2 linked regions of the Oryzias latipes genome follow. The protein of the gene in region 1 purifies or fractionates together with the protein of each later gene. This does not show direct contact. Links are inferred from orthologs where the notes say so. Each region holds a gene or a part of one and is shown on either strand. Other genes may lie near its edges.

What was found.
Region 2: the proteins of ptpn1 (region 1) and abcd3 purify together in Homo sapiens (affinity purification with mass spectrometry; 3 studies listed by BioGRID and IntAct, with this or other methods). This does not show direct contact. The link is inferred for Oryzias latipes from reciprocal best matches to the Homo sapiens genes PTPN1 and ABCD3.

What each region holds. Positions count from the first base shown.
Region 1 is NC_019865.2:21,841,677-21,845,960, reverse strand, and holds the start of ptpn1 (tyrosine-protein phosphatase non-receptor type 1), read right to left. Parts: upstream 3,083-4,284; 5' UTR 2,731-3,082; coding exon 2,674-2,730; intron 2,128-2,673; coding exon 2,037-2,127; intron 1,264-2,036; coding exon 1,163-1,263; intron 1-1,162. Other genes in the region: klhl12 (kelch-like protein 12), read left to right, coding at 3,618-3,675. UniProt on the Homo sapiens protein: Tyrosine-protein phosphatase which acts as a regulator of endoplasmic reticulum unfolded protein response. Mediates dephosphorylation of EIF2AK3/PERK; inactivating the protein kinase activity of EIF2AK3/PERK.
Region 2 is NC_019878.2:5,052,563-5,057,025, forward strand, and holds the start of abcd3 (ATP-binding cassette sub-family D member 3), read left to right. Parts: upstream 1-1,451; 5' UTR 1,452-1,489; coding exon 1,490-1,599; intron 1,600-2,286; coding exon 2,287-2,323; intron 2,324-2,404; coding exon 2,405-2,503; intron 2,504-3,448; coding exon 3,449-3,537; intron 3,538-4,463. UniProt on the Homo sapiens protein: Broad substrate specificity ATP-dependent transporter of the ATP-binding cassette (ABC) family that catalyzes the transport of long-chain fatty acids (LCFA)-CoA, dicarboxylic acids-CoA, long-branched-chain fatty acids-CoA and bile acids from the cytosol to the peroxisome lumen for beta-oxydation.

The sequences.
Region 1 (4,284 bases):
TTTACACAACATCTCTAGTTGTTGGGATCATAAAAAAAACCTACAAGTCTTGTTGACACTAGAAAGTTCTGGACCAATCACAGAGCAGCAATTAGACCAAGTAACTCCACCTCCCTCTAATCGGCCACTTTTGATATTTTGCAATAAACATATTTTCTCTTATAAATAATAATACGAGCCTTTGTAGATGATCCTTTACGAGAAGACATGCCGCTGATGCGCCAGCCTAGACCATTCCTACTAGAGATGGAAACTCTTCAGGCGTGTGACCATCATTTATAGGGCAAAACATTGCATTTTTCACACGCTTTTGTTTCCAGGACAGTAGCGCCATGACTTTTTAAAAGCAAGTATGTTTATTAGGGATGCACAGAAATGAAAAAATTGTGACAGAAGCAGAACAAAGAAAGGAAAATGCTTGGCCGAACACCAAATAGTTACTGAATATAAAAGGTGGATGTTGAGTTTTTCATTATATTTATAAAAATTGGAGAAATTTTGGACGCTTTTGCTGCAAACTGCAGTTCTTAAAATACCTCTGCACTACTTACATTTTACACAATAAACAAGATCATTGATGCACATTAAGTAACAAAACTTTGAGCCCACCAAAGGCTGAATGTGGCTATTTTTTATTTTTCTTTTGCGATTTTCGTTGAAATATATTCAGTTTTAAAGTATTCAGTGCATCCCTAATGATTTATGAACCATAGCAGCCCCTTGCAGGTATTCCTTTTCACACAAGAGGAAACATATCTCTAACCATTGTTTGGTGCATGTCGCATTACGTTACTGACAAGTGACTGGAATCTAACATTTTTGCCGTTTTGTCAGCACGTCTGTCTCTAGATATGTACACAGGCTAAACGCAGGACGCCTTAAATCACGCTTACTGACTTTCCTGTTCTATTATCAGTTACAATGCTTTAAAAATGGTCTAAAATCTACTTTCACACACATACTATAGATTCTAGAAATAATACAAAGACAGTTATGTTAGACAGTGGATAAAAGCTTCTTGACATCCTTAAAACAATCCAAGCTAAACTTTTTGTTAAGGAATAAGGAAACTCCTGCTCTGTAATATCAGTCTTGTTAAAACAGATATTTTTATCATGGCTGTAATCATTTTGACATTAACTCTGTGGGAATATTTCCATACCTGAGTAAGAATATAGTTCCTCTGTGCCTCTTCAACTGTTATTAGGCTGGCGTTGATGTAGTCATTTGCACCCAGCTGCAGGCATATTCTGCTGTGGTCAACTGCGGAGAAGGACGTCCAATTGTATTTCTAAATCAGCAACAAATGGTAAAAAAACACGGCTCTCCAAAGGTTTAAAATGAGCGGTCACGGAGTTTCTGAACTGAGAGTGAGCGTTGTGACTACGACAGAACCTCAGAGCACAACTGAAAACAGCGTGAACTGGTTTCAGGTTCCCCATTTTCACGTCTGACTAAAGGTGGGGAATACAAACAGCAAAAATATGCTTCACAATTTGCATAGCTTCTTTAATGTGAAAAAGAGGAAACCACTGAAGTTCAGCTCTTGAACTGGGAGGTTATATTTCATTTATTATAATACATTTTGAATGCATTGTCTGAATAGTTCCTCCAAAATGATTTTTTTTTTAAAGACAGTTTTGATTGGTTGATTAGTTTCACCAAAAATATTTGGTAATCTGTTCAAAATTAACTAATATTATTGGAATTTACCCATCTATATTTAATATGTATGAGTAAAACAAGAGAACTTTTTATACTTAAATGGACAATGTATATATTTAGGCTGACGGAAAGCTTGTAAGTTAATCAGAAGCTAAGGTAAACATTTTGTTCAATCAGTTACTTTTATATTAGCTGGTGAATGCAGCCATTATTACCAATGATGCAACCACTGACTAAATAGATGGATGTGTTGATAAACACTGCTATACATAACATTATAGTATTTGATATTGGCTGTAGATTAAATTACATACCCCTAAATGAAACATCTAAAAACTCTGTAATGTTGTGATGTGTGAGGCGTTACTTACAGGGGCTGACATCTCTGTAACGGTTCCGATTCTTGTTTTCGGGTAACTTGGCGATCTTACAGGGAAGTTCACACGATTGTTGCCGAATCTCCTGTTAAGATAAAAAAACAATCACATTTGTTTAACATTGTCAAAATGTTAATGGTGCCATTTTTGTCCTTTATAACTGCATAAGTGTGTGAATACTCCGAAAAAACGATCAATAATATGTCATATAACAGTTATCAATCCTTCTCAAATAATAATGTGAATAATTTTTTTCTGAGAAATGCTTTTTTAAACGCTGAAAGTGTCATAAACTTAACAGCTATGGTGCAAAAATAATTTAAAGCTTTAAAATGACATGTGTTGAATTGCCTCATGGGACGTGCTGCCGGTTTAGGACCCGGGCAGACACATCCATCAACAAAAAAAAGGTCCGAGCACCAAGCGGAAAAAAAAGAAAGAAAAAAAAACATGGACCGGCCACACAGGGAACAAAGCCGGCGGTTAGTTAAAAAAAATATACGGAGAAACACGGGGACTGAACTGTACGACTCTGCTCATGTATCGTGGCGAAAGTGAGAAAAATGTTGGCTCAAAAAGTGACAGCTTCACCCATTGCTGCTTTCCACCTTGACATGTCGAGAGTTCCTACCTGATAAATGGCGTTCCAACTCCCGTTTTCATCGATTTCTAAAAATTCGGCTTCCATTGCTTACGATCCAGCGGACAGTCTTTTTGTTCTCCTCAATGATGCGACAGCGACAACACAGCGAAGATTAAACGAATGAAACTTGAACAGTTTCCTGTATTAGCTGCCAAGTGTTTGGCCGTTGCGATTCTTAGTACGGCTGCATAGATTATACCGCGGCTGAGCGGAAACACGCTGCTAGCTCCTCCTACCGTGTAGCTGACGTCCTTGGTGGCTAAAAAAGAGTAAAGTGAGTTTTTAGGCTCCAGTAAAACAACTGCTTTTGGCTGTTTTGGCGATGTAACTCGATTTTTAACTTTTAATGCAACTCTTTCCCCTTTTTAAGCGGTCATTTTACCACCCCCACAGGAGTAACACAGACAGGCGAGTGCGCGCCGAAGGCATCTTGTTTCTGGAAAGAAGAGCGTCCGGCTTGACGGGGAGCGCGCACGTACATTTACGTAGCGGTCTGTTTACGTCCAATCTGAGGGGGTCGAAGCTTCAGTTTGAGCAACGAAAGTGTTGCTTGTAAACACCGCTTAGCGCCATAGCATGGGGCTTTTTTAACATTTCGTTCATGAAAGTCCTTCCAGAAGCCGCATGTAGGCTGACTTAAATCATGCCGTGATGGAGTAATTATTTATTTTTCGGACAGCACGAGCTGGGACGACAGACTTTGATGCTAAGGCTAGTACAGTAGCTAGGAAAGCAACTTAGGTGTAGGGGTTGAATCAGCCTTACCGCAGTGACAGGTATTACGCACAATTTTTCGAAGTTCTTACTGTGTGTCGCTTTTATGTGCTGTCTCACTCTGGCCGTCAGTGTACTTCATGTGGCTCTCTTTTCCAAAGTTTCTGTCTGTCTATGTTAGCCATCAGCTGTCGCTGGCTACTGCTGCTAGCTAGCCCATGTGTAGCTATAGTTATTGCCTCCCAGTGGTGGAAAAAGTGTTCAGGTCCTTTAACGGTAAGTTGTTTTAGCAATACTAAAGTCACAGTGTTAATAGGGATCATATTTAACATTAATATCGTGGTTATAAACCGGGGAAGGTCTTTTGTTATCGGGTATTGTGGGAAAAACTGCAGTGAATAAAAATGTTTTTTGTTCTTGATTTTTATATGACACTGCAGTTGTATACTAATATAAATTAGCTAGTCTGCCGCGGCCGACTAAATATAGACAATTGCTTGCCTCAAAAATGAATGAAAGTGCTTGATAGTGTTTACTGTACGTTTGTTCTCCTTGGTTCTCTGTTTTTTTGTCTTCAGCCTCATTCATCATACTCCTAAGCCCTTTTTTTAATCCTTCTATCGTGGTTTATAAGAAAATGCTAACCATTAAAAGATGGGTTTGTAGTTTCACTCATTGGATTTAGTTATTTAAGTCTTATGTTTAAACTTTTAACATGTCAAGTAACTTACCAAATCCTAGTGTCAGAGTGGTTTATTACTAAATTTAGATCAAAGCACCTATTATCTACTGCTGCAAGTAGCTGTTCATACAGTCTTTAAAGTATATGATTGGATTCACGTGTATGTATGCATTAAAAAAGGGATTTTACACCAATGTTGTCAT
Region 2 (4,463 bases), on another chromosome or scaffold:
AATGTGACAGATGAACTTCAGGTTATGTCAATGAAAAGGAGAATAAAGGCTGCAGCGGTCCTCTGCACCCAAACGTGTCTCTGAGCTCCTTATTTTACAGATGAAACTCTGCTTTACTGACACTGAACCCCGGAAAGACGGCTGCACGGAAAATAATCTGATTTTGAGTCGCCAGAAGGCTCAGAATCTCTTTGTTTTAAACGTATAATCCGGAAATAAAGATTCACAAAAAACTCCACATATTTCATCTTCAAACTAGGCTCCGATAAACAGACAACTACGGGGTTTTCTCCTTGTTAATCTATGAATTTTTTCCCGTAAATTTACGAGTTTTTATCTCCTAATAAAATTACTTTTTTTTCGGTGGCCATAAAACTCTGTCGTAAACTCTTAAATACAAAGCCACTAGCTCACTAACATTAGCCATAACACTGAATACTCCTGAAAGACTCAGCTTCACTGCTCTCGCGCAACATTGCAACTTTAATCTCGAAACTTTATTTCGACTTTTATCTCGACACGACGAGTTTTTTCTCCAAACTCGTCATGACGAGATTAAAGTCGACATGACGACTTTAATCTCGTCATGTTGGCCAGAATTTTTTTTCCTCACCGTGGCCCTAAAACTCCGTCGTACGATGTCCATGTTTTATGTTCCTCAAATTTTTTTTTTTTTTGGTACTTTATGTACTCACTGTACATAAATGAGGACTGCGTGGAAAAGGTTATTTCGTTTTCTGGTTGTATAGATCACTGAGGACCTCTCCTGGACTCTGAACACCACAGTGGCAGTAGGGAAGGTGACTCCACTTCCTGAGAATACTCAGGAGGAACAACTTGGAAAAAAGCTGCCAGTGACAGAGCTACCATAAAGAGCATCCTGGTATACTGCAAGACAGCGTGGTAAACTGGGTGCACAGCCGCAGACAGGAAAACATTGCATCACCGGGTCCGCCTGCCCAGCCTGGACGCCATCGCCAGCTCTCGCTATACCAAGGCAGAGGCAAACCAAATCCAGGACCGCCTCCATCCCAGCCTTAACCGTTCCAACTGCCACTGTCAGGCCAGTGCTGCAGGTCTCACAAGGCAAACAGACTGACGGACAGGTTTTTCTTCCAGAACTGATACTAAACTAAAACCAAAAAAAGACCTCTTGTACCTCTGTGTTTTTTGGTATTTTACATATGATAATTTTTGCACATTCTTTCTCTTAGAGCTTTCTAATTTTATTGTGCATACAAGAACAATAAAATAACATTCTGATTATAAATTCTTTAACATGTTCCCTTTTTAAATGAATCTGCACCTGACACATTACTTATTTTAAAGTAATTGTCATAAAAGACCATCTTCGAACTAAAGTGACGGTGGTCCTTGATTGAAATTTGAGAAGGCCCTTTTAAATAAAGTTATTTAAAAAAAGAGGGGGCGGAGCAGTTGTGGAAACAGGAAGAAGGCGGTGTCGTGTTCACCGGTCTGTGTCACAAACATGGCGGCCTTCAGCAAGTTTGTGACAGCCAGGAATTCGTCCGCGGTTGGCGGCCTTCTGCTGCTCATCTACCTGCTCCGTAAACGGCGCAGAACGCCGAAAGGTCACAGGTGAGTGACCAACACAACACTCTGCGACGGGAGACAGCTGCCGCGCTTGACGGCTTGTTGTTGGCGGCTGTCTGGGAGTGGGACATTTAGGGGTAATCGTCAAGTCGGGATTGGAGCCGGATTCAGCCTGGTTGACAGGCCGGTTCAGTTCGTCACACCGTGGTTTCGTCCTTGTCGTCAGTCCTCGAGTTATGGTCCAGGTGGCCTTCACAGGTACAGCGCGGCCCTAAAGTTCCAGCAGATAAGCCGGTCGTTGAACGTTGACCGGCTCGTAACGTCGCGTTATCTCGGTGACGGTCAGGAGGGGAAAGTTCGGGTGCTGGAACTGGACCACTGCGAACCGATGCATTGGTTCGGACCGAACCACCGAACCAGGCTTTGTTACTGTCCCAAGTATTGTTAAGCCACTTTTGGACCCACTGGACAGACGTGTGCAACCATGTGTCACCTGCTGTGGACATTTGTAACATGCTAACTCATAACTGAGCTCGGCACGCGCCGGGGCGCGTGCGTCTGTGGCTCGTGTCCTTGGGTCAGGTCGGAAGCCGGGAAACGAGCCACAGGCGTAAAACAAATCAAAACAGGTGTTTGATTAAAATAAAAGAATGGCAGAAATGTAATGAATGAAGATGTTCCTCACAGGGAAGACGTAGCAAAAACTCAGTTTGTCTCTGTTCTCCTCCCCAGTTCTAAAGGAGAGCCGACCTTGCTTCTCAACACAGAGGTTTGTTCCAACAGAGCAGCTTTTACCATATATTTTTCCCGGATGGAGCAGAATCTGACACATTGTGCTGTCTTCATGCAGAAAGATGGCAAAAGAGACAAGGCGGCCGTGGATAAAACCTTCTTCCTCCGAGTCCTTAAGATTTTGCGAATCATGGTGCCGGGAGTATTCTGCATGGAGGTACTGTCATGTTTGAGAGTATTTGGATCAGGAAAGTTTTCACAAAGGCTGATCACTAATGAAGGCTGTAGGAAACGCTGAGTCATCTTTAAACAACAATCCAGAATCACAAAAGTCGGTTTATTCTTTTCAAGCCCCAGCTTTTTCCCCACAGAGATGGAGAAGAACTAAAGAATCTTTGCTTTAAAAAAATCGATACCTAATTTAACTTCATATGCCACCCTTTTTTCCAGTATCTGTTTTTGTTTTAAGTCTTAATGTCTCACTCCGATCATCTTTTGATCTATTGTAAAATATTTCCCAGTGATCTTTTAATTAGGATGATGACGATTTTAGGCAAAATTTAAAAACCTTGTTGTTTTCTAGGATATAGTTTCTGCAGAGCGGCAGTAGTTCATCAGAACTTGTCATAGAGCAACGCCGCCTCCCCTCCCCTCCCCTCCCCTACCCTCCCTTTTCTGTTGCAGAGTGGAGCAAAGGGCTACCCTATTTTCTACATCACAAATACAATATTTTTTTCAAACTGTATTTTTTCATCTGCTCCTAAATAACAACAATTTGAATGAAGACATACTCAGAAATGCCATTTTAATCTTAATTTTGTTTATCTGTGTACTTAATGAGAAAAATGCCACAAGACCTTGTCAAAAAAACACTGTTTTCATCAGAGTGGGTCTTTAAGACTGGCCAGGTAATATTAATTTTAACTTTCTTCTGGAAAAATGGCCATAATATTCAATAATTTGCTCACCTCATTGCTGCACGTACCATAAGCATTCATGGTCTGAGATTTGACAGAAGTGTTTCTAATAGTGGAGGCAGAGCAAAACCTCTGCTGTGAAAGTGGAGATGACCAATTTTCAAAGGACAAAACCTTTGCCTTACTTAATGGTTTGCCATGTTTAATGGTTCCTCCCTGTTATTCATTGGCTGCGTTCCTCATAGACAACCTACCTGATCCTCATTGCCAGCATGCTGGTGACCAGAACCTACTGTGACGTGTGGATGATCCAGAACGGAACCATGATTGAAAGGTCTGACCTGTCTTCAGACTCTTTTTGTCCTGAGTCACGTCGTTGTTAGATGTGTGTGAACCACTGACTGTAGATGAGAACTGGACCGAGTCATTGTGACGTTACTCATAGATGATGCCTTACTTCGTGCTCTAACCAAATTAAGTTAATTTAGTCACCATTTTTTACAATACGGACGGCGCCATGTAGATGCCAGATGACGTTGGTAAGCAGTGATTGGCCCAAGTCTGTTGGAGTCATCGTTTCTATGGCAATCTCTCTCACCAATCAGGAGTGACCTTGTTAGAAGTTTACACCCTTGAAAATTGTGTTGGTAGAATCTGTCAATCAAAAGCGAGACCTCCTACTTTTATTGAGGCATCTGATTGGTCAGTTTATAACTTGAATAACTTAAACTACAGAAAAGTTTTCATTAAAAAATGAGGATTATCAAGAACAGGTTTAAAAAAAAAAAAAAAAAAAAAAAGTTATCAGACCTGAAATGCTTACTCTGACATATAGAATGACTGAGCAATAGCAGTTTATTTCCCAGTAAGCGTCTATGGCTATATCTGAATTCCCTCCTTACTTCCTACCAAATAAAAAACTAAATAGTGCGGCACTGTAGTGTCCTTGATTTAAAAGCATTTTGTACACCAGTGTGTTCTGGTGATGAAAACTTGGATGTTTTATTAAAAAAATTATTACAATACTTCTTTTTATCTTCTTCTCAAAAATAGTTTGAACACAATGGATTGTGGTCCATATTCGCAAACCTCGTGAGCATTTATGCAGACTGTTTTTTTGCGGAGACAAATTTTTAGGGCACTAGATTTTGTAATTGAAGATTTGAACAGAACTACAAAATGCTGAACGCACTATATAGGGCACTTTGTAGTGTTTACAGAGATTTGGACACAATCTATGGGATTTTGGATTCTTGGCGC